3 linked regions of the Arabidopsis thaliana genome follow. The protein of the gene in region 1 interacts with the protein of each later gene in a biochemical or structural test. Each region holds a gene or a part of one and is shown on either strand. Other genes may lie near its edges. The genes, in order: CIPK15, ABI2 and ERF7.

Region 1 (10,537 bases):
GCAAAGACAAAGCATCCTTACCGCTTGTCCAGTTTTGAAGCTGTGAACTTTGACATGGAGTAGAAGGATTGGTAGAACCAAGATAAAACTTCTTCGTCTTAGAGCCACCAGTAAGTGGTGGAAATTGCTCTTCATAATCATTAAGTGAGTCAAGCGATGCAGTCTGCTTAACAGAATTAACATAACGTGTCCTTTAGATACCGCCACGATTATGCTTTGATCATAGGAAAATCACTGGGAGCCAATGGAGAGTTCATAATCTCTAAACAACAGTACTTGATATGGTATGCCACTGGAAATTGAATATAAACTATGAAAGCATGAGAGCATTTTTTTCCAATCAAATTCATGCGATCAGCGGCATAGTAAAAATGGTTCAAAATCAGCGAAACTAGGTTGAAAGATAATAGTCTAGAGAATGCGAAAACGATCACTCACATGCGTCTTTGGGATCGGAGAGTGAGGAGAAGAACTCATTATCGTCCTACTCGCCGACGGAGAGCACAGCCGAAGGACGATCTGGTGGCGGGAAGTAAGATGAAACGAGCGATGGATAGAGTTCAACATAGTCGAAGAAGCCTCGATTTATCGGCGACGACAAGAGACGCATCGTCTTCTACGCCGTCGGCGCAGAGCCTTCTTTCTAATTATATATTGATCTTCCCGAGAACACATCAGTAATTTCAAATTACACTATTTTAATTACATGGGCCCATGGGCCTCGTAACATAGATAGCAAGGGTCTTCCACATTAATTTGTGGGAGCGAAATGAGTTTTCTACGCGCACGACAGGCGGGTGATGAACACGCTCGAATGGTAGCCGCCGACACCTTCCTTAACTTATTAACTCAACATACTTTAGTGTCAAATCTTAGTTTATGTCAGTATTCAAACGTATTGTTACATCTAACAGGAAAAAGGTAAATTAAAATCTTGACTCTAAAACCTACCAGGTAATATAGAAGAAAGAAAGATGTGTAGATTTTATCTTTTAAAAATGGACCAAATGATTCTGCTATTTCGAGTGTGAGGAGGTTGTAGAAAACCAATCATATTCGACAAAAAATCAATTAAGAAGAAACCAACCACCAAACCCCATTCATTAATTTCCTTTGCTTGGAAGACAGCTAAATTAACACCAAAGAAGGCTTGTTCAAACTCACAGTTACATTTTTACACGGAACCATCCATATACAAAAAGACACACTTGCCAAAAGCTATACTTAAATTATCAAAGTTTTAGTCATGCACTTTAAACCAAAGTGAATGCGACAGTTACTATAATAATCTTCTGATCAATTTACGTAACTCTTGTAACTGTTCATTGCTCTTATTTAACAAAAAGGTAAACGTATTATATGATTCGGAGTTGCATTACCGACACAAACTGATTAAATATTATAATAATAAGACGATGGAACACAAAATAAACTAATATATGAAAAACATTTTATAAAATTTCAACGTTTTATTTTCCAAATTTTGCAGCGGAATTAGCAGAGGAAACATCTGCGGATTCCGAAGCAGGAAGTGGATTGTGATCTCTGAATTGGGTAGTCAGCAGAAGAGTCGAAGGATGAAAATCTTCGCATGACATTCCTTTCTGTTTGAAACTTGAACAGATCGTACTCATTTTCGTCGATCAACACTCTCTCCGACAGAGATGGTGGTGATGAAGCCGACAGTTTCTTAGCCTTACCATTGTGATCGCCCGATAGCCAGAAGAGCCTTGTCGGGATTAGTGCGAGGATTTTCTTGGTGGACTTTTTGGAACGGCGGCGGATTTGGTCGCCGGAGAAAGAGAAATGAGACGGCGGAGGAGTGAGAGGTGGCAGAGTAGGTAGCTCAGAGGAGGGGTGTTTGGGTGTGCCTGGATGAGATTCCCATTCGAAAGGGACGGCACCGGCGGCTCCGTCGTAGTAGTAGATTCTAAAGGAAGGACAAGCAGCTGATACCGACGAAAAACGTTGTTTGGTCGACGGTAGCTTACCGGAGAAGGTGGCGGTGTCTTGCTTTTTCAGTGAGAGTGAAGCTGCCCGCTCAGATCCCGCGTTTGGCATTATTGTCTTGGGAGAGTGAGAGAGAGAGAGGGAAGGAAAGAGAGGGAGAGATGTGTGCATGAGACATATGGAGTCAATCTATCATGTATATATGGGTGCCTGGTGTCTTTGGTACGGTTTTTACTTTTGGGCTTATTTGTTTGGCTTTGGTGTCTATAGAAACTATATATTAAAAGCAAAATGTAATAATTAATGATAGTGAAATAATAGTTTCAATAGTGCGGTTAATTAGCTCTCATAGTTAGAACTTATAAAGATACATCTCGAAGTGTGTTGGTCCAATCCTACAAAGGCAATAACCACTCGATGGATATATAAAGTCATCACAACTTATTAGACCCTTGAACACTAAGTAATGCTACCGGGTACAAAAGAAAACACTCACATATGAATAATGAGGAGATCTAAATACGTCATACTCAAGGCAAGATATTTGTATCACATGTATATAGCAATTAACGATTCATCCATGAGAATATTTACATTACAAGCCAACATATACATAACTTCAACACAAACATGTCATTGATGAGTAGATTTTATTAAGAAAGGTGTGGTTATTGTAGAAGCATTTATTTGGAGAGTAGATAGGACCATTGATGAAAACAATATGAATTGAATAATTGGTTTTTATCTGATTAAATTGGAAAACAGTGTATGACTAAACGAGCCACGACCCATGCATTCCTACATGTGCTCCACATACCTCCGAGCATTGCTTTCCTTAGTATATACACACTGATAGACCCCATGGTCGGTCCATTCTTTTGCATTAATATCTTTCATGTGATATTCATATACTCGCTCCCCTCATCAGAATTTACATCTCTTCGTTAAAGGTTAAACAAGAAGACATAATTACATTTTCTTCCGTCCATTAAAGAAAAATGAGAGATTTTTTTTTTAAAAAATTGAAGGTCTTTAAAGTATTGAGAACCGTGACCTATTTATAAGGTTTAAAACCAACAACCAAATTTCTCATTTGTTGGGTTGTGAAAGATAATTTGGCGAATATCATACAAATGCGATTAATTACGGTTTAAACATCTCCATTAAGGTATTGACAGTATCAAAATAAGGAGAAGAAAATGGAACAAACAATTTTGTCCAGAGGTGTATAAACTTGGAGTATCATATTCTTATAGCAGATGAAATAAAATACTAGTTAGTTTATTTGTTTGGAAAACAAAATAGGTAATGTGAATATAGATTTTAAAAGTAATTTTGATACTACAGCCCTTTAATTAGATTGAAAATAATAATAATAATAAAGAAAGGACCAATCATATGTTTGACAAAAAAAAGGGCCAATCATATAATTCTGTTACCATGGATCTAAATGAGAGGAGACTCTTGCTTTTTCACAAAAAAAAAGAAAAAGAGAGAGAGAGCAGCAACCCCAGCAGCATCGAAGATCGTCGATCGTCGATCGGTTGCTCTCTTTCATTAATCAGATCTAATTGATACCCAAGCTTCTTCATCGGAGGCCGTGTAAGCTAGCTTCTTCTTCTTCATCTTTTCGTACACTTATTTGATTGTTGTTTATGTATCGATTCTATGGAATAAGAGCTTTTAGCACATATTAATTTGTCCCCAGTCTCGTCGTATATGCAGACCTATTTAGCGCTTATGGTTTGATTTAGATCTGTTTAATTTAGCGTTTCAACCTAAAATTGTTGACAACTCAAAATCGGAATCCCCCAAAAAGTGTCTGTTGACTTATGAATATGGCCATCTCCAAATCGGTTTTTGATCCATCATCATTAAATTTGGTAATATATAGATCTCACGAGGAAACATGGGCGGTAGATTTGGAGTCCTCCTAGTCCTCTTCCTCTTGAGCTGGTCTTGTCATGCTACAAACCCGATTCTTCTCGAACCATTCGGTAAGAACATTTTTGAAGGCATCTAGAGTCTCTCTTGCACCTGTTTCTAATTCAAATTTGTTAAAATCTGTTCACTGGATTATTTGAATACGTTACGTTTTCAGAAAGCATTCAATCTGATATAGACATCCTGATGTATGTTTTTTTTTTTAATTGGGTTTAAGAAGTTTGCTCCATATAATATTTGTGTTGATCTCCTATGTATGATTGTTTCGTTTGCAGAATCAGCTCATGATGACAACCAAGTCTGTGAACTATGTGACAAGTATGTCACGCTAGTCATTGATTACCTTCAAGACTACGACAACCAGAATGAACTCGTTGAGGCCCTTCATATCAGCTGCTCTCAGATTCCTCCTCTCAAAAAACAGGTCTTCATTGAGTCCTTGGTTGTTTTTGCTTTCTCTATTCCTTTTCTCAGACGTGGTTATATGTTAACTATGCCCAACTCATGTGTTTGTTGCAGTGTCTTTCAATGGTAGATCATTACACCCAACTTTTCTTCACACAAGTCTCTACTATCAAATCAGACCAAATCTGCAAACGGCTTAACCTCTGTCAAGCTGTGACACCGGCCTTTGCCTCTCAAGTCCATCAAGGAAACTGCGAGGCTTGCCGCGAGACTGTCTCTGAGGTTGTCACCAAACTCAAGGATCCTGAGACTAAGGTTTGCTCAACCTTCATTCCTTCTATTATCACATACCTATTCTGTGTCGCAAACCTTAGGCTTAGCACTAAGAATTATATCAGTTAGAGATATTTATTATTGCTGCTGAAGATTGACTTTTGCCTTGTGAATGTTGCAGCTGAAGATAATTCGGTTACTTCTCAAGGAATGCAAGTCGCTTAACAATTACCAGGACAAGGTAGCTAACTAATAAAGAATGCCCGCAAAGCTCTCTCTATTTAAGCTGAGTTTTGTGATACTTTTATGGATCATCATCAGATAATAACAATGTGTTTGTTTATGATGGTGAATAGTGCAAGAAGATGGTATTCGAGTACGGGCCTCTGATGCTTACGGATTTGCAGAAGTTTCTGGAGAAGAAAGACGTGTGCACTATCCTCCACGTCTGTCCAGGTCCAGCCACCCACCGTGACTACGTTCCTGCGGTGGAGTCATTGGCAGATTCGTAAATTCGGCCACCTTGGTTTTGTCGTCATTCACACTAATACCATGCCATGATCGTGATGCTAATTTAATTTGGTAACCCGGTGGTCATGTAAATACTGATTGATATATTAAAAACATAACTACACGATTGATGATTCTTGTGTGATTTGAAAAGAACGCTGTCTAAAGGCCCATTGTCCATCGATGGGCCTTTTTGCTAATTTCTACATTGCCCATGTTGTGTAGTCTGATTTTCGCTAAAACGTTACGTTGATGCGTGTACTCAATCACTCGCCCACCATTTTCTTCTGTGAAACAGTTGGCAAAAGTTAGGGGCCGCCAAGCTGGTTTAAACTGACCCACAAGCGAATAAATGTCAGACACGTGTAAAGGACAAAGAGAGCAAGTGTCACCGTATCTATAAAAGCTAACATTAGAGGATATTCTTGCTTACGTGTGACATCGTCACTGGTACATATCATCTAAAGGAATCTTTGATCAACACTACTCTGGAAAACAAATTGTATACTATTTATAAATCTGTTGACTGTATGTATATTCAGAATTATGTGATTGATTGACTAAAAGCGACTGATTTTTAACCTTTTATAATACAAACAGAACAGTGTACATATCCAATGTAGTGAAACAAATCCTTTTATTGGGAAATAAAATTAATTTTGTAAATGAAAATTTCGTTAAAACAAACCTTAATGCTTATCGTATATTTATTTAGCTTGAAAACTAAAGAAAAGATGTAAAAAAAAAAGAACTAAGTTTGGTTAGTGTGTGTAATGACGATGAAAGATGATGAGAAGTGATAACTTATTTTAAGGGCTAAGAACAACAACAAAGTTGATTATTAGAAGAAAGAAATAATTAAAAAGCAAATTGCAAACAGCGAAAAGAGAGATGATGACAAAAAATGGTTAGTAACGGCCAAAAGGTAAACAGGTTGGCTGCTCTTTGTTTCCATTAAAATTAGTAAAAATTCCGAGAATGGCATTTTCGCAATTCATAGATATCATCAACTTGTGTGTTTGTTGGCCGATTATAATATAAAGGAAGGGAAACTCTTCTTCTCTTTCTTCTCATTTTCTCTCAATTCCTCGCAGCTGAAGCTATTTGGCATATACTTGTCTTCGCTTTTCGTAGCTCTTTCGCGCATAATAATAACTGAGGTAATTGTTCGATTCTGGTTCGCAGCGGATTTTGTCGATGCTATTGAGGAATCTAGATTTCTGTGATGGATAGATATAAGACATATCTTATGTCTCTGTTCCGATTCGATCTGTTTGTTTCGTTCCTAGTTCGATCTACTTAGATTTCGTCCCATGTTTATAGCTCTCAATCGCTTTGAATCTTGTCTTTAGTGTTCGATTTTCTGGTGTTTAATTAGGAGCAAACTAGATAGGCCTTCTTTGTTGATCCTGTCATTAATGGTTTGCTCTCTATGTTTCAGGTTGTTGTTTAATCAAGAAGAGTGTGCAAAAATTGGAAGGCCAGGGAATGCAGAAACATGTATTTGAAAGCTGAACTCAATTGCTCTACACCACCCTCTCAGATCCTTTGTCCCTTTGGGCCCTTGTTCTCCCTCATCCCTTATGTGGACACCCATTTTCTAAACCCCTGCTTCCACACCTTCCAGCCTTCCTCTCACAATGCTAGAAAAAACGCCACTTGGAAGCATGATCTTTGCGAAGACGGTTGATCCGACACTAACAGCCTCCTCCTGAGTTCCTCCTCTACCCTTTATGTTGTCTGCGTTTTAGTATATTCTAGGGTGGTCTTTTTATTTAGTGGTATTAGTAGTGCTCTAAGCTAACCAGTTAGTCAATGGAGAAGAAAGGATCTGTGTTGATGCTCCGTTATGAGGTTGGGAAGTTTCTCGGTCAAGGTACCTTTGCTAAGGTATACCATGCTAGGCATTTGAAAACTGGTGATAGTGTAGCGATTAAGGTCATCGACAAAGAAAGAATCCTCAAAGTTGGCATGACCGAGCAGATTAAGCGAGAGATCTCTGCCATGAGACTCTTGAGGCATCCCAACATCGTTGAGCTCCATGAAGTCATGGCCACCAAATCTAAAATCTACTTCGTCATGGAACATGTTAAGGGTGGTGAGCTCTTCAACAAAGTGTCAACTGGGAAGCTGAGAGAAGACGTTGCGAGAAAGTACTTTCAGCAGCTTGTACGCGCTGTTGACTTCTGTCACAGCCGTGGAGTATGCCACAGGGACCTGAAGCCGGAGAATCTCTTGTTGGATGAGCATGGGAATCTTAAGATCTCTGATTTTGGTCTCAGCGCTCTTTCTGACTCTAGAAGGCAAGACGGGTTGCTGCATACTACATGCGGGACCCCTGCATATGTTGCACCGGAGGTGATAAGCAGGAACGGGTATGATGGGTTTAAAGCGGATGTGTGGTCCTGTGGAGTGATATTGTTCGTCTTGCTCGCTGGATATCTTCCTTTCCGTGATTCCAATCTGATGGAGCTGTATAAGAAGATAGGCAAAGCTGAAGTCAAGTTCCCCAACTGGCTTGCTCCGGGGGCAAAGAGATTGCTCAAGAGGATCTTGGATCCTAACCCCAACACAAGGGTATCAACTGAGAAAATAATGAAGAGCTCTTGGTTCCGTAAAGGCCTACAAGAGGAGGTGAAAGAATCAGTTGAGGAAGAGACAGAAGTGGACGCAGAGGCAGAGGGAAACGCAAGTGCAGAGAAGGAAAAGAAGCGGTGTATCAACCTGAACGCGTTTGAGATCATATCTCTGTCCACGGGGTTTGATCTCTCGGGACTGTTCGAGAAGGGAGAGGAGAAGGAGGAGATGAGGTTTACATCAAACAGAGAGGCATCTGAGATAACAGAGAAGCTGGTGGAGATTGGGAAGGACCTTAAGATGAAAGTGAGGAAGAAGGAACACGAATGGAGGGTGAAAATGTCGGCTGAGGCTACAGTGGTGGAAGCGGAAGTGTTTGAGATTGCGCCGAGCTATCACATGGTGGTGCTAAAGAAGAGCGGTGGAGATACTGCTGAGTATAAGAGAGTCATGAAGGAGAGTATAAGACCGGCTTTGATCGACTTTGTATTAGCTTGGCACTGAAACATATTCTATCCTTTTTATGTGTCTTCTTCTTTTAGAATGTTTTTCTTGTTTTGTTTTGCCAATGTGTTTAGTTTATGTATTTTCTCTTGAGTCTCATCTTAAGACGTGTTTCGTATTTTTCTAGGTGTCAGTGTAACAATAATAATATGTGAGGACCAATTATATAGTTTGAGACAAAATAAGTAGATTTCTTTATCAGATAAAATAAAATAAATTGAGCCTTAATGAAATAAGCCAATAGACCGACAACGGTTTTAGGAAGCATTATACTACTATTTTGTAGTTATTTCGTATTATTGTAGTCTTTTGGATGATCTTTTTGTGTATTAACAAAGTCAAAACAAATTTATAATTTAACTTACGTTACAGAATTTGTTAATGGTGTGTTTTCTTCTTCTATTTTTTTGGTAAGAAATGGTGTTAAAAAAATGAGAAAAAGAATCCAATGGTAAGATTAGTGTTCATACATGTATTGGAAAATGACAAAGTGTCTTTATTGGTTGGATGATTGTGATTGGGCCAATTCGAGAAGACGACTAAAATGGACAAGCTCATTGAATTCACGGCCTCCAGTGGACCACGTTGGCCCATAATCGGATATACACCATACATTTATCAGTTGGTCAAATCAAAACCTTTTATCATAGAGTGCAGAGTATATTTTTCTAAGGGTTTTGCTTAATCCGCTATCTTTTAGTGGGCCAACAACTACAAATTGGATTGAAGGAGAACCAAGGAAACCACCCAATTTAAGACTCTTGTCTTTTCGTAATCTAACCAACATAACGTGCTCGTCAGATTTTTGCATTTGTGTGTTTCCTACTTTTCCTTTTATGCTCAACAGGATAATTAGTTACATATAACCACAATTAAGGAATTAATTAAAGCATATTAAGTGCTTTAAAAGTGTACGATGTGATTGTGTATATAGTAAATTGGATAATATATAGATCGTGGAGCCTACAATTATTGCATTGAAAAGGTGATATATATGTTGATTACAGTAATTATAACTGCTGAAGCTGAAATTAATGGATTATGGATGATTGGATTCAATGTGGATACCAAGAAAAGAAAATGATTGATGAGAATTATTGGTGTATGATCTTATATCACAGCCACATGCGATAGGATTATATAAAGTCCACTAGCTATATATCTATTTTAATAGTATATTTTTACAATGATGTGATAAGGACAACCTCTTACTTATCAAAAAGGTGAAAGTAGATCAGTTGTGTTAGTTCATGGCTCAAATCTTGACACTTCTTTTTACATAATGACAAAATTAATAGCAGAAGAAGACTGTGTTTTATGAGTTGTTAAAAATTACATCTATATGTATGTTAAATATCATGTTGAATAGTTAACTAATCCTTAAGTAATGGTTAAGTTAGAGTGTCTTGTACACATAGCATTACTTCACATCCACGATACGTTACTAATGTATTATAGTGGCCATTTAAAACAAGTAATACATTTTTTTATATTTTATTTTTCATTTATATAAAATATAATTATGATTACATAACAAGAAGATACATACTTGCCAACTAAAAATTAAGATTTGTCGAGAAATTTCCTGAATAATTATGTCAGAGATATTCTCCGGGTAAAAAAAAAAGCAATTACATATAACCCGGGATATTTTTTTTTAATTATTATTTGGATAATTTATTTGACAGATACCTAAACTACGACGTCGTATGTACTTGAGTTGGTTCTGGGTCCGTTTGGTCTGATTCGTGCACAAGCTCGACGAAGAAAGGCCTGAGTGTATCTGTCCATAAATCTCGTCCAGATGCAGCGGCTCTTTGTCTCTTCCTCACCTCTATCATAACCAGCTCGTCCGTTAGCTGGTTTATCTCAACCACCATTGCGAAGTTACCTTTTTGCCCCTCGATCTTCATCCCCCATGTTTCCTTCTTCGCCACCGTCAGATTCTCCGCCGACACGATCTCCTCCAGCCTCTCCACCACCCTCTCCGCCGTCCACGCCGACACGAACCGTTCCACTCGGTCGTACTTTCTGGCGTCTCCGAAAAGACCGGAGAGATTGAACCCTGGAGATCCTGAGATGATGTCGAATGCGTTCATCCTCCTTGCTCCCATCTCGCTGTCGGTCTCGTCCGCCGGGAGTTTCATATCGGAGTCCTCTAGATGGAATTTAGACATCCGATCGTCGTAGCCCTGTTTGAACCATGGATCGTGGATGATCTCTTCGATAGTGATCCTCGTCTGCGGATTCGTGTCTAAAAGCCGAGTCAGCAGTCGCCGGAGATCCGGTGAGGTCCACTTGGGAATGCGAAATTCTCCCTTGTAGATTTTCCGGTACATAACCATGAGATTATGGTCGTTGAAAGGGAGATAAC
Region 2 (10,537 bases), about 23 Mb from region 1:
CGTTCCACCGGATTACTTTCCCACCGGCAGCTTCTATCCTCGCCGCTTCATCATCCCTATCCGGCTACACATAAATGTAGACCCAAACGCTATAAGTACATTAACTAATCTATAGAAACATGCTATGATTGGTAACACCATAACAAAAAACCGCAAGTCCTAATGAATATATGATTGTACTAATTCATTCATAGAAACATCTATACTTACTTTGTGATCAACCGACAACGCGAGTGGCGTTTTGCCGCGACACAAAACCGCCCTAGAGTCGCCGCAATTCGCGACAAAGATGTGAGTCGGAAAGACAACCGCAACCACCGAGGTAGACCCAACAGTTTCCGGAGCATGAGCCACAGTTTCAATCTCCGAGTCAACTCTCATAAAAGAGTTGAACAAAGCCTTCTTCCACTTCTCTTGCCACGTGTCACCGTCACAAAACTCCGGTTTCTCCTTCACTATCTCCTCCGTCAAAGCCAGATGCATCCTCTCACGACAATAATTCGCTACCTAAACACACAAAAACAAATGTCAAAAACCAAGTTTTTGCAGTTTCCGATCATATCATATCGAAACCAAATCGATTCATTACCTGAGAACCGCCATGGCCATCGTAAACACCAAAGAAATGAGCACTCAAGTGAGGATTAAATCCATTAGTGACTCGACCATCAAGCAACGAACTAGAAGAAACTTGAAGGAATCTAGGAATCGTTGAGACAGAATCTTCCATCTCTGGTCGTCTACCACAAATCGAAGTCACTCCATATAAAGGAACACACTTGAACTCAAACAGACTTCTACTCTCTGTTCTACTAAGTACTTTCTTCTCACTCTGATTCATCGATCTCGGATCAAACTCATCTGAACCGTTGATTTCATCTCCGGCGGAGATATCCACACCTGCCATAGCAGATGATGATGATGTCAATGAATCTTGTCTTGTATTGATCTCAAAGGAAGAATCTTTCATAGCTCCGTCGCCAGAACAAGAACTTTCCGGTAAAGTAACCCTAGATTCACCGTTGCAATAGCCTCTAAGTCCGGCGTGAGGGTCAGTGAATGGTCTGAATGGAACAGCGACTGCAGGAGAAACTTCGTCCATTAAAGGAGGAAAAAAAAAGAAAAAAGAACTTTCTTGAACTTTAACAAAAACCCAAATCAGGAATCAAAGTTGGGAAGAGAAAGGAGAGAAATTGAAGTTGGATATCTAAGTATTCAAAGAGACAGATGTTAGATTGTTAAAACGCTTGGGTGTAAGAGAAAAGAACGAAAAGTCAGACAGATTTGAACATAATAAAAATTGATGAGAGTGTTGTTAACTTTATTAGATGAAGATGAAGACAAGAAACTCATGACTCATTAGAGGAAAGTGAAGACAACCTTAGCTAGCACATGAAACAGATAGAGAGAGATTTGTCAATTAAAGAACCAAACACACACAAAAAAGAAAAAGCAAACGTTTTCCCGAGGAAAAAAGGACTAAAATCAGAGTTTCCTGGATTCTGGGCAATTCGTTTCAGCCATTTAGAGATTCTGAACTCTCTCTCTCCCTCAATTAATTTCCAACCAAAAAAACTTTTTTTTCTCTTTCTTTCTCACAAACAAATAGTTTAGGGGATAATCAGTTTTAAAGAGAGAGGTCTTTATTTATTAAAAAAAATAGCACAATGTGAGATGTTTTAGTGAACAACAAAGTAATTAGAAAGACTTAAGGAATTGTGGAAACAAAAACAAAGGGTATTTATTTTATTTTGACTTGATTAAATTTTATTTCTTATTCTATTTACTATCGTGTCACCCCTCCATTATTATTGGGTATCTTTATAGAAGTTTTGAATACAGATGTTTTATACGTTTCCTATTTTACCAAAATATCTTGCATTAAACGTTATGAAATTAGATTTAAGATAAATCCAAACTTTTTACATAATGAGTAATTTACTTATTTCACATAAAAATAATATCTCTTAGGAATTGCTCTTTTCTTTTGAGCTTTAATCAAAATTGGTCGACAAAAAACGTAATTTACTTATTTTATACAAAAACAAATTTCTTTTATTTTATTTTTTGTTTAGTGTAACATGCCATATGTCACAAAAATATATTTTATAGTAAAAGATGAAAACACCAAAAAATATACAAATTATGATACAATTTTTATTAGTTTAGTAGAAAATATATTCATCTACACTGACCACACTAGTACATTAATGCTACTAATAAAAATGAGGTACTATAATAATTACAAAATTTACTGACTAGAGAGCTTGCTCTGATATTTTTGGTTCTAGAGTTCAAAATAAAATAATGACAATCGGGTGGATACCAAAAACAGAAAGGAGGAGAATCAAACTCGAGAAGGCAAGAAGTGTTGTGTTGTCAACAGATGATTCTTTTTACTTCCAAAACAATATTGAAGAAAAAAACAATATTGAAGAAAAATAAAATCATTTTCGAAATAACAATCAAATGGGTCCCATTATTGTCGGAAAACAGACCGGATGATCGCCACGTAGACAGAGAGAAAGTCATTAGATTTGGTGAAGAGGATGGCGTGTACGGTGAGAGATCTGTTAGTTGGGATGGCGGGAAAAGATGAGCCGAAGAGGTTCATTGCACTGACATAGACAACACCTCTCTTTTAACTTCCGTAAATATCTTTGTGTTTCCTTTTTTATTTGGTGTCTGTTTTATTTATTTACTTGTTTTTAAACAAAAATAATAATACGTGTTCCATAATCATTGGACCATGTAATGATATGTGAAGTGAAAGTAGCTTTGGTTGGGCAACAAATACACTGAACCAATCGTATAGTTATATAACTAAAAACGTATATATGAATTTCTGTTTTTATTTATTTATTTACGATTTCATGAATATTTTTTATTCACTGGATATGAGTCATGTGACCTTGATTTTATTTTTATTTTTGAGATATACGTAGATAGATAGACGCATGCAATTTCTTTAAAGTTAATTCATTTTTTTTAGGATCTCTCGCAGCTGTCAGATAAAGTAAAATATCTTTCGATATAAAATAAAAAACAAAACCAGCTCATATTGTATAGTATACTATGTGTCACATATTTTGAGATGATCAGTTGCTACACGGATCTGTTAAAACTTAAAAGGTAGTATTGAATAAAGTGGCGGTCACATAGAAGTACAACTAATATCTATTTGTTAAATTTTGTCAATATGATATCAAATACAAAATGATAATAAGAAAATTATATAAAATTAGACCATATTCTTAAATTTTTATACATAAAGCTAAAACATCTAAACTTCATTACAAGGTAAGAGAAATTTGACGAATCTGGAAGTTATTACTGAGTTATTTTCGCTCGAAATAGTAAGTTACCAACTTACCATTTTTGTGAAGCTGCAAAAATAGTGAGACGTGAATCACCTATTGGACTGGGCTAGGCCCATCGATTCTCTGATAAACTTTCATTAAATAAACGTTTGACTTTTGCCACCACACCGCATGTTTGATTTTTTGTTGTCGTTGAAACAATTATATTTTTCGAGACAATACGAAATTGATTTTCCCAGTGATTATGTGGCTGAGTGGCTCAGGTTTTGTTTTTCTCCTTAATTTTCTTGGCCAATAAAGAAAATAAAAAACATGAAATCATTACTTTAAAGACAAAAAAAAACTCTTGCTCCTGTGTTGAGAGCCTAATCCAAGATTCTCTTCCATGGCTTCTATTTTCAGACCTTCTTCAGCTTCACTTGATTTACGACCAAAGGTATCAAACAAATAAGCTTCTTTATTCACTCCTAGCGTTAGGTTACTCGATTTCCAGAAATTGTTGTTTAGGGTTCTTACCTTTTGGATGATCTTGAGATAGTCCTAGACGCTAATCTTGTAAATTTGGCAATTAAGGGCTTCTTTTCTTTAGTTTTCAAGTAATTGAGTTAAAAGGAGAAATTAGGATTGTGAGTATCATTCAAAATCGATTACTTTACCTTGGATTGATCATTGATGATGAATCTTTTTTGGTATTTGGAAGGTTATTTGCACGAATCTCTCTACGAAAGAGCGGTTTGAGTTTCAGAAGAAGAGTGTGAGGAAAGAAAGGATCAATGTTAGGTTTTATAGCTTGAAGGCTAAGGCACAAGGATCGTCAATTGAAGGGATTAGTGTTGTACAAGAGAAAGAGCTTAACAACAAAACCGGTAATTAACTGATAATAAGTAATTGTGTTGATTGTCTGCTGGTTAGTGGTTACAACATTTTAAGCAAATGTCACCATTTATCTATAGACACTAAGCTCGGATTACCAGTTTTGATTGTTGATTGTTATTGTAGATTATGGAGTTGTTGGGGTTCATCATGTCGGTCTGCTCTGCGAGAACCTAGAACGGTCACTCGAGTTTTACCAGAACATTTTAGGCCTTGAGATCAACGAAGCAAGGCCTCACGACAAGCTTCCATATAGAGGAGCATGGTTATGGGTAGGTTCAGAAATGATTCATCTTATGGAGCTTCCAAATCCAGATCCATTAACAGGTAGACCCGAGCACGGAGGCCGGGATCGACACGCTTGTATTGCAATCCGTGATGTTTCAAATCTGAAAGAGATCTTAGACAAAGCTGGTAGTTTATATTTTTTTATTCTTTCTTCTTAGTTTCTTTTGGCTTAAAGGATGTTTCCTTTCGTTCTGAAGAAGATTTTTTGATTTTGTAGGAATTGCATATACAATGAGTAAGTCAGGGAGGCCAGCGATATTTACTCGTGATCCAGACGCAAACGCTCTTGAGTTCACCCAAGTTTGATTTGAGTCTATTTGTAGATGAATCCTCTAAACTTTCACTTGATTATCAGTTGTAAATGCTCTTCATATAGAACTGCAAAAAGCAAACCAAATCCTTGTTGACTTATTATATAATACCACAATACATATTCACAGAGATGATACACCCGATTCAAACAAGTTCAGGGTATTTAGTCAATATACGAATTAGACTAGACTGTATATATATTAGTGTGATCAGTAGGAGCCAAGAGTAGTGGAGAGGTCTAAGCGTGAACGAGATCGCCACTCTCGTATAGCCGATCTGAGAGTGTGGTTCGGTGTAAGATCAGAATGTTTGAGCCGATGCTTAGTAACAGGAGACACATCTTGATGTTTTTGAATCCATTCTTTTATCGCTTTTCGTTCGTATGTGAATCCATCTGCTGCTATTTGTGGATCTTCCATTATTTCCTACAATCAACCAGAATCAAACATTTTAAAACCTGAGCCATCGAGAATTGTGGTTGGTGTGCATCGGTTATTCGATTTACCTTAAGAATTGGACAGTAATAGTGAGTTGGTGCTCGTGCGTTAGCTTGTTCTGTCTTGAGTCTACTATTTGCAGATTCAAGAATACGTTTGAGAGCAGGCAAGACTTGTGTGCTAAGATCTGGTCTGTCTCTGCATTTGAGCTGCGAACACCTGATTGCAATGCGAGCTAGTTCTTTCGCTTCGGCTATGGGCCAGTCTTTGACTGATCCATCTAACATATCTTCAAAACAGCCTCTCTTTACTGCATCTTCAACGCAGAAAAGAAGACCGTTGGGATGTCGAGCGGTTAAAAGCTGGAGAATTATGATTCCAAATGCGTAAAGATCTGATTTCGGTCTGATTGTGCCGGTTCGTTGGTATTCCGGGTCCATGTAGTAGAGTGTACCGGCGATAATCGAGTTTCTGTAAACCGTCACACTGTCTGGTGCTTCGTCTGACATGAGTTTTGCGAGTCCAACGTCACCGATTTTGCTGACAAAGTTTCTGTCTAAGAGAATGTTGCCTGGTTTGAGGTCACGGTGGACGATGGGCTCAGGCTTAGAGTTGTGGAGGAAAGCTAAACCACAAGCTGTTTCATAGATGATTCGGAATCTGATAAACCATGAGAGAGATGGTTTCCCTTTTTTGGGAGAGATGTGACAATCTAAGCTACCATTTTCCATGTACTCATAGACAAGGCATCCATTTTCAGGACAAGCACCAAGGAGAAGAACCACATGGGGATGACGAAGCTGGCTTAAGACTGAGATCTGCAAAGTAAAATAGTTGATTTCAGATCTCAGAGTGTTAAAGGCTGCTGTTGTTATTAGGCCATGAGACTACTAGTAATTTACCTCTTTCAAGAATTCCTCTTTCTTTTCAACAGAATCAGGTTTGAGAACTTTAAGAGCTACTGGGGTATGATCAAGACTGCATTTGTATACTTTTCCATATCCTCCTTCGCCGATTATTTTACGGGAAGAGAAATTATCTGTAGCTGCAGCTATTTCTTCTTTTGTGTACTTTCTGTATCGCCCGTCTCTCAAGAAGAGTTGCTCAATGACTTTCTGTTTCTCTATGGACTGTTTGAGAGCATCTAGCTCGGCTAATTGCCTCTCGCAGAACTCTTTGGCTAGCATTGATTTTGCTTCCTCGACTTCTTTTACAGCTTTTAGATGCTTTTCTTTCTCTTCTGCTGCTGCTTTCCTTCGCATTTCTTCTTTTTCCAGAGCAGTGATGACCCTTTCTGTTTCTTTGATACACTCAGAGGAAAGAGACTGGACCTGAGGTCACAACATGGGATTGAGTTTATGAATCCATAAGATGTAAAAACATTAGGAAAGGATTTCGAGAACAAAAAAAGTTTTCTTCTAGAACTCCAACCTGTGTTTGTTTATGAACTAGCTCTTCACAAGCTTGTTTGTACATGGAAAGAGTGGTTTGCACTTCTTTCCTTAGCTGCTCTACCTCAGCTCTTACACCTGACTGCAAAAACAGATCTTGGATCAAAATCATATGCATTTTGTGTCACAGAGAATCAAAATGGTCATATATTAAATGCTTCACCTTTGGTGTTTTTAAGTGAGGTCTAGGATCCATCTGTATTTTACTAGTGGAAACAGTACTATGCCTAAGGATAGAACGACAGTGTTCGTCATCGACCAAAACAATATCAGTTGAAGAAGACTGTGCATCAGAATACACTCGAGAGGTCGGATGACTATGCGGTAAAGAGCCAGGCCTTCCAATTCTCATCCTGCCTGAAGATGTTATAGATGAAGCAGACAACCCTGTCTTATCAGAGCGTGTGCGACTGAAAGATTCTGTATAAGCTTCAGCTCCTTCTGGTATACGGAAACTAGATGATGAATCTGTTGAAAATTTCACACAGAAACAAAAACCACAGGGGAAATCAATAAAACTTGTATTTTTTTCCTTCTTGACTTCAGATTTTAGATCAATGCAATTGAAACATACCTGCGGTAAACTGATTCGTCGATTTGGTTAAGATTCTATCTTTACAAACAACATATATCTCACATGTCTCTGGAGCTTCTCCTAGCACCGTTAATGGCATTTCTTGTCCTTTTTTCCTGTCAAAACCAATCCAAACGTCTAAGCAAGATCATACCATATACAAACACATACTAGATATCAAATCCCATTATGTAACATTACCTTGTGAGGAAATTAGAAGAGCAAGAGCCAATCACTAAACACTCAACATCAGTATCTGACATATACTTCAAAAGAGCCTTTGCAGGATCATGATGTTCCAACAACAAAGTCTCAACCTAAACATTTAACCAGTAAAATTATTCCATAAGCCTTCTCCAAAACTTCCAAAATCAGTATCATAAATTTAGCTTTCACAGAAACTCACTTTGTTGGATTTGCAGATCCTCTTAAACGGAACAAAAACTTGTTCAAATTCTTTTCTCAAATCTCGTTTATACATAGACACAACACTCTCATCCAATTCCTCTATTGGAATCTTCGATCCAGCTTTTAAATCAAACAAAAACTAGTGTTAAATTTTCATGAATCTCGAAATTGATTTAACAAAAAAATTCGAATCGAGACTTACAAGGAGATGGAATAGTAGTAACTGTAGGCATGACATGAACAAGAACTAATCTATCGATTTTAGGAAGGAAATTTTCGATTGTCCAACGAAGAGCACGACGACTAGCAGTTCCTCCTACGGCGTCACCGACGGATCCTTTAACAGCGACGGATACTGAAGAATACGACGGAGCTCCGCCGATTAATTCGAAGAATTTGTTCGTCATCACCACCATGAAAATGAAACTTGTTGCTCTTTTTCTCAGATGGATTTTGTGAGGAAATGGGTTTTGGAGAAGAAGACCCGCGTTTTTAGTTGACTTGGATAGAAAAAGTGGGTGATGTATTTATTGACTGTTGTGAAAATTGAAAGCGCCTACTTTATTAGAAAAGTCTTTTTCGAAAAAATTGTTATGTTGGGACTTATATTTTTGTGAAATTTAAGATATGGTCGTTTTATTGATAATTTTGAAGGTTTTAATTGATATAATTGTGAGAAAAATATTAGAAAGAATGTTCTATATTATTTCAAGGGGTTGACATTAATAAAGATATATAATTCATTTTGAATAAAATGTGCAAATAGCGAATTTAGAAGTGATTTTATTGACTAGTAATTGTTTTTTTAAAGGGTTAAGAAGAAGTTTCATTGGATTGATTAATTTAATTGATAATTATGTGGTGCTTGTTCTTAGATTCTGTATGTGATGCAACGAACATATACTTGTTCTCTGTTCTTGTTAATATTAGATTAATGATTAAAGACGGCACACTAACCACTTGTAGTTTCACTAATCCAAAATTAGCAGTTTCTTGTTTATAAATAATGTGTATAGATTATTGAGTAATTTGCACTTAGGAACACGAAAGTGATCATATTTAAAATAAATGGCAATCGTAAACAATATAAGCGAAATAAATTGATAAAAATTAAAAGCATGTGTTGAACATTTTTACTCTTGTTGATTTAAACATTTCTCGGTCACTAACCACAAAACAAAGACTGATTTTTTTCTTTTCGTTTCCATCTCCATTTCGATCACTCCTTAGATTCTATACATGTTTGTTTCCAACTTCCTAGTAACCCACATACCATTCTTTGATCGATTATTCAGATAAATCAACATATATATACACAAACCTAAGAGTTGATAAGTAAATCATACTTTGAGATAGGTTTTTATCATGGTTGCTCCGGTTGGATCAGAGATGAGATGATTGATGAGACCTTTTCTCAAATTGTTTGGTGAAATGACGAACATGTATAAAGCAAAGAGAACGAGATCTCCTGATGTTAATGTTGATCCTAGAAACCCTTGCCACATCCTGAGTAAGTGAAAAGAAGAATCAATTTTCTTGTTTACAGTAACATTGTTATGAATCACGAATCAGTGTCTTGCTTACCATTTTGGAAGGCGGAAGAAAGTACGGAAGAAGCTTCTAATGCCTTCGGTATCGAATTGAACTATGAGTGCAAGACCAAAGAGAAAGAATGCTCTCTGTCTTTTCCTTTCTGGTGGCCATAAAGTATCCCAAGCTGCCAAAAAATAGAAAATCACAAGTTTTAAAAGTTTCTCATTGTGTGAAAGAACAGCATAGTTAACTTTGTGGTTTATATAGAGCTCACCTTGTCTTGAAATATTACTGTTGATCTGTTTGGTAGTCTCTTCTCTTAGTATCTCTGCGATGACTGATGCATATTTTGGAGCTTCAGACAAAGATCTCACAACTGAATAGCCTGTTTAATTGGGGGAAAGCTAAGTCAGAGATGGTACAGATTCAAGATGTGAATAAAAGTACATCGGGTCAAGGCTTCTTGCTCTTACTACCTGTTGCGGGATGTACCATGCTAGCGGCAGCACCAAAGGCGAGATTCTTTTGTTCGGTGTTTGGCAAGGAACCACCAACTGGGATATAGGACCACTCCTACAGTTTTATATTAAACGAATTAAAAAAGCAAATAAGAAGTTTCTATGTTGATATAGGACCACCAATTCTTACCTCTTCGTAAGTCTTTAGAATTCGAATTCCGAGTGTATCTAATCTTAACATGAGCTTCGTTTTTAGCAAATCAAAGGGCATGACATCTTTTGAGGCCAAACATGTCTCCTGAAAGGATTTCCAGCTGATGAGCAACAGACTTATCACAATAACGATTTAACTAGAAGGAGAGAGAAACACCAAAGAGAACCTCGAAGAAGAGTCTTGACTTTGTCATAGGCATGGCGTACAGAAACGTTGGATACTCAGCTTCTAAGCTCCGAACTTTCTCGTTAGTATAATCTCTGTAATCCATGAAAACCATTTGATCTGGATCATATGGACTATTTTCCACCTGAAGATTTCAAATAGAAAAACAGTCTCAATGAACAATGATTCCTCCATATAGTTATTGCTGTGGAATATCATATTCAAATTATACCTCAACCTCCACGCCGTATGCAGTTTGCACACAGACTCTAGGTCCACCAACTTCGTATTGCAAGAGCTTTCCCGAAGCTGCTCCAGAAGCAACAGTGGCAAGCCTGCATTTGCTAGAAGTCAGAACCTTTTCGTAGTGGTAAAACCAGAATAGTACTAGCTGACTTGTTACCTGCAGGGAATGACGTTATTGTCGTCACAAGCAACAAGTCTAAGGCCATCAGAAGCTTCTGTTATGCTGTCAACTTTCGAGCTAAGGTACGAGACACCTGA
Region 3 (10,537 bases), on another chromosome or scaffold:
GGGGATATTTGAACAAACAGTTTAGAATTTGGGGATTAAGTAGAGACGAAATTGTGCACTTCCATTGTAAGAAAGATTTTTTCTGATTCACGATAAAAACGAAAAAGGAAAGTAGATTTTGTGTTCATGCGACAACCATGATTTCACAATCACGGGGTCTATCTACTTGCTAATAAAGTATTATCATCATTAGATCATAGATTTTTATTTCTGTTTATATACCTTAGTACTGTAACATGTAAATTAGTGTATCTCGGATGAATTTTTTTTTTTAGTTTGAAATTCATGGAATTTATCTATTAAAAAGGTTTTACTAAGTATATTACAGATTAAATACACTAAATACTAATTATTCTTTTCTTTAAAAAAACAAAATTTGCATATTGATATATTTCCATATTTCGGCGGAAATAGGTTTACGTGGCAGTGACAAAATATTATACTGTAAACACTGAAAGAGGCAAAAATAAAAACAAATGAAAAGATGCTGGTGAAGTGAACACAGGCTGTAGAATGGGTCCCACGTTGACATGTGATGTGTAAAATTTAGGCCGTAGATTACGCATATCTCCGTACTTACGGCGCCACGTATGTTGCTAATATAATTATAAGTACCATTATTTTGATTTTGATGTCTTCTTATAAAAAAACAAAAACATAAGATATTATTTAGATCAGCTAAACTAGTAAAGGATTACTTAGAATTTTAAATACCCGGCGGCATGTCTTGAGTTTATTGGAAGGATGAGTATATAAAGTTTAAAGGTTTTGAAGATTAATCGAATTATCAAAATGAGGAATATCATATACTTTATAGTATAAAGTATATTAATTGTCAATTATTCGAATGAATCATGGGTTTGGTTTTATTACTTGTGATCTTATGAGTGGCTGTCTATGCATTCGTTTTTATATGCCCTCATGACTTTGAGAATATTTCATTATTCCAATTACTATACGATAAATGTTGTTACATCTCTTAATCAAATGTTGAGTCGTTTGATTATTTTTTTATTTTATTTTATTTTTTGTTTGTTTGTTTGTTGAAGAATCGAAACCGCAGACCAAAAATATTTTCTGTTGTTTGCTGTATTTAAATTTACACGCAACTATACTTTTGATTTAAACCTTCTTTCTTGTGATTTAATACTCCTTCTTTTAGTTTTTTGAAGATTTTCAATCTCTATGTTATACAAATACGTGAAAAATATGCATTTTACCCTTAGAAAGTTAGAAGTAGAAACGAACATCTCACAATGCTTGATTTTCTTTGCTAAAGAGTATAGACCACATAAGATAAAGAAAAAAAAATATCATTTAAAGAGCAACATTATGTTTAATCGTGTTAAAAGTTTCATAGTAAAATGGTATTCAGGATTCATCATAGTTGATAGTAGTAATTGGTTTGCAACATTTGATTGATTTTGCTTATTTCTAATGTATGTAGCCTTTGAATTTAGTAGTAGTACATAAAAAGTGATTCACGTCTTTACACGTTTAAGTATCAGCAACGTGTATTCACCCAGTTTGAAATTCAAGATTTTGATCATTCTTTATTAGCCCCCACATATATAAAGAGTTTCAAGAACTATAGAACCACAGCTTTCCTGATTTGGTCAAACCTGGAAATATATTCTTTCGTTATCTTTCTTTTTCTTAACTTTTTATTTAAATCCCATATGTAAAATGTAAATTAGATTGCTATAATTAACTTGATGGATCAGAAATTTTGAAAAGCTGTGATAAAATAATAGAGAATGTATAATGAGATAACAAATCAAAAACTTTAACGATTACATTTCAAATAATCTCTAAAAATAAACAATATAGTAAATTTTAGAATAAATTCACTCGGCGTACGTGTCTCCAAATCTCAAAACGTTTATAGACACACAAGATTCATAACTTATACTCTATAAAGAAAAACAAAATGCAAAGTGAGGGGTTTGGTTGAAGTGGTTGTCTTGTGAATATTGAATTGTTGTATTAAATTCGTAGAAAATTAGTAACCAGTACAAGCTTTTGTGGGCTGATAAAGATAAACACGTTGAGTTAGTAATACGCAAACCGGTAATCTACTTCTAATCAATTAATTTAAATGAGTTTTCCAGGCGTCTATTATAACTTCAAAGTCTCGTTTTCCGACAATTAATATATTGTGTGATTAAGATGAAAATAAGACAACTACGACGACAAGCTAGCCAAACTCTTTTGGAAGCGAATAAAACAAGACTAGCTATTTGTGAACTTATTATTTTCTTCTTAGACTGATGATTTTACAATTGTAACAATGCACTCCTATTTAGACCAGTGATTGGCTGATGGCCAGGTTATTTTGTATAATACTCTCTAACCTTTCTCCATTTGTCTAGTTAACCTTTAGCCATTTGCCTTGTTAATTGCTCATACACTTCTTTTTCTCCTTAGTTCAAGTGTAATGTCCAAGCCATTCATTATCCATTGTCTTGTTAATGAATCCATTTGTCTCAACAGTTTTTTATATTAATTTTCTCCTTAATTCTAGAATTATCTTCAATAACTAAAGATTAGACCAAGTTGTTCTCATTTAATAGCAATGTAGAATCATTTGGAGAGAAACTATCATTTCAAAGCCGAACAACCGAATTCTCGAAAGGTTGTAAAAGTAAAAAGTAACATTGTGGATTAATCTCAACTCCAGAATAATAGAAGATTATTAAGAGTACGAACCGAAACAGGAAAAGCGACTTGAGATCAGTTGTCTTAAATCGTTACAGTGAAAATAACAAGACATTGCTTTTGACTTCCACTTTAAGTTAAGAAGAAGCCTACCCCAAAACGGTAAAAAAATACTCGGTTTTTGCTTCAGACACAAAGATTCACTGTCTGAATCCGTGGCATAGAAGCAAAGTAGATACCAAAATTGGGAAAACTCTCTACCAGCAAATTCAAATCAAAAAGGTCAAACACACAACGAATTCTGCCACCTCAACCCACAGCTCTTAAAGATCAAAACAATCATCTCAGCCACCAAACTTTAACCTAAAGATTTGGCCTGTGCTCATTGAGCTTTATCGATCACAACAAAACCACTCACCGCCCATTGACCATGCCCTTAATCTCTATGTTCTTCACCATCCAAAATATTCATTGGGTACACAAAAGGGAAAGCCTTTCTTGTCTCCTCGCTGATGAATGAAAACTTGAGGCTTAACAATGACAATGAGTATTCTAACTTCCTCTTCGAATCACCCAATTAGATAGCAAAGGAGCTTCACCGTCTTTCTTCCTTTCATCTTTTTATTGCTTCCATCTCAGAGAACCACTAAGCTTTACTTGTTGAATAGAAGAAACCCTGAATTGATCAAGATCAAGCCAAGAGACAAAACACAAACAAATACTTGTGCCCTGTGTGGTTCTGTTACATACTATGTAAATGCAGCTTCCTACTTACATCAGGGGACACTCTATGAATAAGTAGAAATCTAAAGATAATGGATTTGAATCATTCAGAAATCATCACCAGCTTCAGAATGTTATATATATGTAACAAAGGGTTGTTGGATCTTTTATAAGAAGAAACAGATAAAAATGAAACCCAGATCTGGTTCTTACAGTAACAGATCTTAACACAATCTCTCTCTCTTTTTAATCGTCATCATCTTCGTTGATGATAAAATCATCACGCTCAATCTTTTTTTTTTGTTCTTCCTTTTTTTCTCTTTCAATATGATATCAAAGGAAAATGGAAAAACAAAAGAGCATAAAGTTATCATTTTGTAAAATTTGAGAATTTTTTTTGTGTGTAATCAACGGATTTTTTTTGTAAAGCAGCAAATCAGAGACGTAGATCGGTACAGTGGAGATCATCTATCCCGCCAGCGAATAAGTCAACGCCATCCAACGGCGGGAAATTAAGATCAAACTGAAACGGCGTTTTCCGGCGGGAAGACGAAGATGCGATATCATCTCCGTCGTCAATAACAGACGACGAAGAATCGCAGTCGCTATGACAATCCTCCGGAGCTACCGGTGGAGTTCTCGGATATCTCTTAATCGCATGTAACGGTTTCGCCACCGACGAAGACGCCGCCGCGGCTTCCATCGGTCTCGGTCCGCTACAAGATTTAACGGTGCTGCTCATGCTGCTACTCGCCGGCCGACTAATAATCTGCTGCTGCTGCTGCTCCTGGAAATTACCTCCGCCGTATAACCGATGGTCCATAAACGGATCGATCTGGTTCTGAATCACCGGAGGAGAACAGAGGTTTTGATTGTGGAGGTAGGTGAGAGGTTGGAGAGGAGAAGAAGGAGAACAATCGATCGGGAAATTGGTCTTGGCCTTTGGACCACGGAGGTTACGTGCGGCGGTATCGTAAGCGCGTGCAGCATCTACGGCGGAATCGAAAGTACCGAGCCAGACACGAGATTTTTTTAATGGATCACGGATCTCAGCTGCGAATCGACCCCAAGGTCTCTTCCTAACGCCTCTATACCTCGGCTCCTTCACAGATCCACCGGCGGTTACTGGAAGGGCGGGTCCAACGACGGAAGAGCCTCTCCCTTTCCTCATGGAGAAGAAAAAAGATGTAAAGCCAGAAGTAATGTGATGAAGAAGAGATCTGTGTGTGTTTGTGTGAAGAAGAGAAGAAAATGTTGAAGAGAGAAGAAAGATGAGGAAGAAGATGAAGGAACAAAGGGTAGAGATTGGAAATTATTATTATAATTCTCTTTTTTTTTTTCTAAATAATTTACTCAAAGAATTTTCATTTAATAAATTAATTAAAATAATAATTTATGGTTGGAATAGCTTTTTCTTTTCTTTTTTTTTTTGGTTGTTAATTTCGATTTTTTCTCTACCTTCACGCCCGACCCACAAGACCGACCAATTCGTTTCTTTAAAAATTTAATTATGGAGTAACATTTTTCCTAACTTGGATTCTTTTTTTCTTTTGCTTTAAACTTTTTATTCGATATATTGTGTGGAGAAAAAAAAACAAAAAATTAAAAAAGAGTTCACAAGAGATGTCTCGAAATGCGAAGAAAGTAAAAGAGGGTAAGCACTTGCACTCTCTGTCCTGACCCTGACCACAATCTATATAATAAAATCTTATGTCTTACTGTTTGTTTGTTATCAAATTGATGCACCTAGAGACCAAATAGTCCACTTGTAATGACCAAAAACACCCTCCAGATTTTATTTTATTTTATTTAATAATACACCCCTCTTCGAAATTATTATTAGTTTCTTCTCCTTCCTTTGGGACCCTACAAGAGACGAGACGCGCTTATCGGCATCGTCGTCGTCTCCCGTGTTAAAAGTAAATGCCGTGTTGAGGATACGCATTAATGTGGAGAAACAAACATTTTTGTTCTTATAAAAACTGAATTATGTCTCTCCATTAAACCCCAATCTCAGAACACAAAACGAAAACAAAAATAACTCTAAAGAAGAAACAACACATTTTTCGAATTTTTAAAACTTGCTTACCATAAAATTCTGGATTTTATTTATCCAGTCTAAAATCTACAGGCTGATCATAGTAGCCTGCTTAGGGATTTGATGAGTAGTTTAAGGTTTTTTCTTGTGGCTTCATCTCCTGTGAATCCCAGAATATCTGAGCTTATACTCTACAATCAAGAAAATCAAAAACCAAGTCTTTGTTAACATTGTTTCTTCCAACTTGTCAAAGCTGGTATTGATAGAATAAGAAGAAAAAAAAGTTTACCTCGACGTTCTTCAAAGTATAAACCAGAGTGTAGATTGACTTCTGTATGAGTTCTGTATTCTCAGGAGTCATAATTGACGAATTAACCTTTCTGCAATGTAACCAAAATGAAAATTATATTTTTGCTGTCTACTGCAAGAATATAGGTTCTCATAATCACAGTTATCACTCAGTTGATCATACGTATGTAAGTAAACGAGCTTTTGCATATATGTGGTCCAGGAACATACATTAAGTGACAGAAACAGTAGGCTAGCAGAAGATAAGTAGAGGCAACACAAGATAAATTATTGAAATTTTAAGACAATAGAGGAAAGATTGAAAAGCACTGATGAGCAAAGCAGTTAATTTAACATGGAACCCATAAGATAAGACACATTTATGCATAGATATGTATGTGTTTTAACTTTTTAACCATCATCTCTTGTTCAGAAACTTAATCCACAAATAGAGTGTTGAAGCCACATACGAGAAATTGAAGCTAGTGTGCTTATATCTATCGTAAGGTCTGCTTTCATCATGATGCAGAAAGAGTTTTGCATTTGCACTATGGAATTCAAAATATTCATAATGATATACAGTCGATATGCCAAGATTGTTCCACTAAGAGCTATTACCTCAAATCGTCAGAAGCTTGGGTAAGGCTTCGAGTAAGACACTCAACTTCCTTGAGCAAGCCGCTATCACGAAACTCAGAGAGCAAAGGTTGAGCATCTTCAGCCATGGCTTGAATCTGTGACATCACTACATCAAAACCCAACGCATAAGCAGGAGAATACATTTTTTTCCAATCTTGAAATTCACCTATCGATTCTTTTTGAATACTGTAAACAAGATCTAAACAAAGACCACCAAAATTACTCATATCACCTTTTTGAGCAATGGCCTTGCTTCCTCAATAACCGAAGCAGCTCTCTCAGCAAGCGAATACGTATTGGCAACACCAATGGCCTCAACTTCGCGTCCAATACGAGTGAAAATTCCAACTAATTCATCTAAACTAACTCCTTGCACTCCTTTTATTGTCTGCCTATCACAAACGATCAGACCTTCCTTACCACATTCAGGATGCAGAGGTCCTACTGAAGGTTCTGGTATCGGATTCCTAGGCATAATGTCGATCATAGTTTCCATTAGAAGACCAGACTGATTCACCTCAACCAATGAATTCCTCGGGATAATAATCTTATCATCTTCTATCTGCAAAACATAACACACGACCCTCATTTCAAAAACAAATGTACTATCAAAACCAGATTCAAAGTACCAGATCATACCTCAGCAACAGCTTCAATATTCTTCAAGGAAGGATTAACACGGATAATCGTACCAACAGTAACCCCACGGATCCTAACCGGTGTTCCCGTGCAAATACCAGAAGCATGACTAAGCTCAAACACAGTCTGATATTTCCTAAACTTCGACCGCATTTGAAAACCTCGCAACCAAGCCCAGCTAAGAGCAAGAAGAGTAGCTCCAGAGACAATAAACAAACCAACACCACCTTCCCAAATACTTCTCTTACCAAACCCAAAATCACTCAAAGGTTTTAAAGTCTGTCTCCATATATTCCTGGGCACATCCAAAACAACGGTGAGAGGATTCTTCCCCCCATCAGACGATGGTTGACCATGAGCAGCATCGGAATTGGATGCAGCTCTGACCACTAAATGCCTAGTTCTAGGTTTTGGTGGAAGATAAGGAACCCCATTGGGTGAAACTCGAGGACAAGCAATCATGGAGGATGATGGCATTAGTGATGATGGAACTTGAATTACTGGATTCCCAATCATCCTTCCAAATTCAATAAAAAAACTAAACTTTATGCAGCAAGTTCCAATTTTGTTTTCCGAGCTGTAGTTAGAAAGAAGATAGAGAACATGTGAATTGCGTGAAGCTTCTACTTTATCGATCGAATTATAAGTCGAGATTAGGGTTTTTGAGCGAAAGAGAGAATACCTGGGCTCGAAGCTTGTGACGAACTGGTGTCGTGAATCTGAGAATAGCTTCTCCAAAGGCTTTGTTGTTGGGATTTAGACGGTAAAGAGAAAAGACGGAAAATCCCATGTGATTATCATTAATCATAATTAATTAAGTAATTTATTAATCACCTAATTTCGAAAATGTAAAGGCTTAATCAGTTAATCTTAAGCCAATTTGGAAGGAAGCAAGGGCATTTCCGTGATAATCAGAAAAATATACAGCGAAAGTGAACTTTTCTCTGTTCACTGTAATGTTTCGTCCTTTGGAGAAGTGGTAGGCCAAACTGTGAAAAATAGCTCAAATCAATTTATTCATTAAGTTCAACAACTCTTCCTCATATCAGTCTTTTAACCAACAAACCAACAGATCCTTCTTTTAATTAACATCAAGATCACAGCTTTTGTGCTTAACACTCAAAAATCACTAAAGCTTCGGATTTTATTATTGCAGATTCCTTGAGCTCATGGTAGGCTTGAGAATCAGTCCATTAAAGGATTTAACTTAACGACCATGAACTATCCAATCACCAACCGACAAGCAGTAGCTTTAGAAGAGCCATTCTAATGAACAAACCGTTCTTTGCTTGTCTGAAGTAGGCAGCTCTTGGATCAGCATCAACATCTGCGGTGATCTACACAATAAGAAATACAAAGAGTGAGGATTGTGTCACGGTACATATATGAAAAATAGAGGTTTTCTTAACTTACTTCATCCAATCTCGGTAAAGGATGCATGATAATAGCTTTTTTCTGCATCACTCCTAACAGATCCTTGTCTACGATATACTTCCCACGAGCTGCTTCGTAAAGGTCCAGCCTTTCTCCAAACCTCTCTCTTTGGATTCGTGTTTGATAAACTACATCACACTTGGATGCTACTTCCATTAAATCTGAACTTTCTTCCCATTCAACCCCGCTTGATGTCAAATAGTCTTTTATATCATCCTACCATTAAAAGAACACACTGAAAATGGTAAGGAACATACACAATGATGTTCTCGAGTAAACCAAACCATCTTCTTCAGGTTCTCTCATGGAGGGTGGCAAGTTTAGTGCTACTAACCTTCATTTTCACAATTTCAGGGGAAACAAAGTAGATCTTCACGTCTTTGAACTTGGCAAGCAAGTATGCAAGAGACCGCACAGTCCTTCCGTTGGCAAGGTCTCCAACTAAGGCTACACTGATGCCATCTAATTTTCCAATTTCACTTTGGATGGTATAGACGTCCAATAGAGCCTTCACAACAGTAACAGAACCAGAAATAAGAAACAAGGATGTAAAGTAATGTTTGTTTAAGACAATTGAAAAAAACTAAAGGTTAAGAACACAACATACCTGAGTAGGATGCTCTCCAGGACCATCACCTGCATTAATGACAGGTATATTGGCAGTAGCTGCAGCTTTTCTTGCAGCACCGCTTTCAAAATGTCGCATCACAATTATATCTGAATAACCCTCCACTGTTCTTATTGTGTCTGAAAAATGCCCCAAAAATTTCCGTAAATAATCTAACACTCAACATGTTTCACAGCAATAATGAGATACTAGCTAAGATGGTACCTTCAAGTGTTTCCCCTTTCGCGGCAGACGAAAACTCTCTAGCGTTCTCAGTAGTTAAGACTTCACCTCCAAGGCGTTTCATAGCAGATTCAAATGAAAGCCTGGTACGGGTAGAAGGCTCATAAAAGAGGGTAGCCATTAAATAACCCTTGAGGATTTCACTTTGTGAAGAGCTCTTTTCTATCTTTTCCATTTCGCGTGCAACATCGAATATAGCGCTTAGCATCTCTCTATCAAACTGTTTCCCTTCAATCACATCACTAAGTTCAAATTTCTTCAACTCCCTCGTCCCAGCTTGCATAGCATGACACCTGACTGGACCAACATTTCGAGTCAGATTCAAAGTAGCATTTTTCTTGAGATCCCTAGAGGCAGGAAACGAAGTCAAACAAATCTTTGAACTTTCAAAAGGGCTGGGAAGATTGATAGGGAACTCAGAGCTGCAGGCTAATGCTTTAGGAAAAACTGAGGCGCCGCAAAGTGTGGCTGAAGTAAGTGATGATGCAATAGACATTCTTGCGCAGGATGCTAATTCGTTGAAGGGGAGATACTGAGTCACAACTTCCAGAATCTGCTAAAATAACAGACAACAATATATGATGCCGTTAGTTTAAGAATAATCGAAAGCAACTAAGTTTTCGAGACTATGAGAAAAAAACTGCAAATTTTATAAACTCTAAAGATGATTACAAGTATCCACACTCCATCAAGCTAGTGCCAACGATACTTGTTGCGGATTATATTGGTAACCTCTCTTACATATCCACTTGCTTTCATATAAGAATCTAAACATTACTTGAATCCTGAATTCAATTGTCTTAGATGGATAGAGGGAGAATCAAAACCTTGGGTACTCTATGGAAATGATCCTTAATCTCAATTATAATAAAATTATGAGAAAGTAGTTACCATAATCCGAAACTATAACAAATTTCAATTTCAATCAATCGTAAATCAAAAATCGAAAAAGAAAAAAATTCAGAATCTGATCCGCAGAATTTCAAAACCTACACAGACCTAAAAGAGCGATTGAATCAGTAAAGCAGTCAAATGGGGAAGAGTCTGGCTGGTCGATGTAACGCCGGTAGAGAATCCGACAGCAATGAGCACAAAAAGAAGGAATTAGACTCAATCCTGGTTAAATCGGAGACCGGCGGCGGGAACGGCCGGGGAGAAATCAAAGGCGGGCGGAGAAATGTAGGGTTTTACTAAGGAAAGGAAACTAGTAATGATGAATTCAAGACGTTTTGGAATATTAGGGGAGGGAAAAAACGAAACGCATTGGG

Evidence for each region.
Region 2: the proteins of CIPK15 (region 1) and ABI2 form a complex in vitro, tested with the Arabidopsis thaliana proteins (one study listed by BioGRID).
Region 3: the proteins of CIPK15 (region 1) and ERF7 form a complex in vitro, tested with the Arabidopsis thaliana proteins (one study listed by BioGRID).

What each region holds. Positions count from the first base shown.
Region 1 is NC_003076.8:303,563-314,099, forward strand, and holds CIPK15 (CBL-interacting protein kinase 15), read left to right. Parts: upstream 1-5,811; 5' UTR 5,812-6,242; intron 6,243-6,523; 5' UTR 6,524-6,897; coding exon 6,898-8,163; 3' UTR 8,164-8,535; downstream 8,536-10,537. Other genes in the region: AT5G01780 (2-oxoglutarate-dependent dioxygenase family protein), read right to left, coding at 1-163, 439-567; AT5G01790 (uncharacterized protein), read right to left, coding at 1,495-2,121; AT5G01800 (saposin B domain-containing protein), read left to right, coding at 3,860-3,947, 4,170-4,318, 4,414-4,614, 4,754-4,813, 4,929-5,084; SR1 (serine/threonine protein kinase 1), read right to left, coding at 9,861-10,537. UniProt on the Arabidopsis thaliana protein: CIPK serine-threonine protein kinases interact with CBL proteins. Binding of a CBL protein to the regulatory NAF domain of CIPK protein lead to the activation of the kinase in a calcium-dependent manner.
Region 2 is NC_003076.8:23,078,285-23,088,821, reverse strand, and holds the start of ABI2 (Protein phosphatase 2C family protein), read right to left. Parts: upstream 1,701-10,537; 5' UTR 1,103-1,700; coding exon 590-1,102; intron 508-589; coding exon 211-507; intron 65-210; coding exon 1-64. Other genes in the region: AT5G57040 (Lactoylglutathione lyase / glyoxalase I family protein), read left to right, coding at 3,706-3,756, 4,021-4,186, 4,320-4,607, 4,699-4,787; AT5G57035 (U-box domain-containing protein kinase family protein), read right to left, coding at 5,003-5,218, 5,299-6,048, 6,133-6,561, 6,662-6,763, 6,845-7,149, 7,256-7,371, 7,457-7,572, 7,662-7,783 and 1 more; LUT2 (Lycopene beta/epsilon cyclase protein), read right to left, coding at 9,004-9,169, 9,248-9,380, 9,471-9,581, 9,673-9,769, 9,845-9,952, 10,035-10,178, 10,266-10,368, 10,437-10,537. UniProt on the Arabidopsis thaliana protein: Repressor of the abscisic acid (ABA) signaling pathway that regulates numerous ABA responses, such as stomatal closure, osmotic water permeability of the plasma membrane (Pos), high light stress, response to glucose, seed germination and inhibition of vegetative growth.
Region 3 is NC_003074.8:7,082,140-7,092,676, forward strand, and holds ERF7 (ethylene response factor 7), read right to left. Parts: upstream 4,756-10,537; 5' UTR 4,553-4,755; coding exon 3,818-4,552; 3' UTR 2,588-3,817; downstream 1-2,587. Other genes in the region: ABCI15 (trigalactosyldiacylglycerol2), read right to left, coding at 5,518-5,610, 5,709-5,799, 6,326-6,441, 6,579-6,908, 6,986-7,501; PYRB (PYRIMIDINE B), read right to left, coding at 8,215-8,322, 8,399-8,635, 8,754-8,927, 9,027-9,166, 9,252-9,765.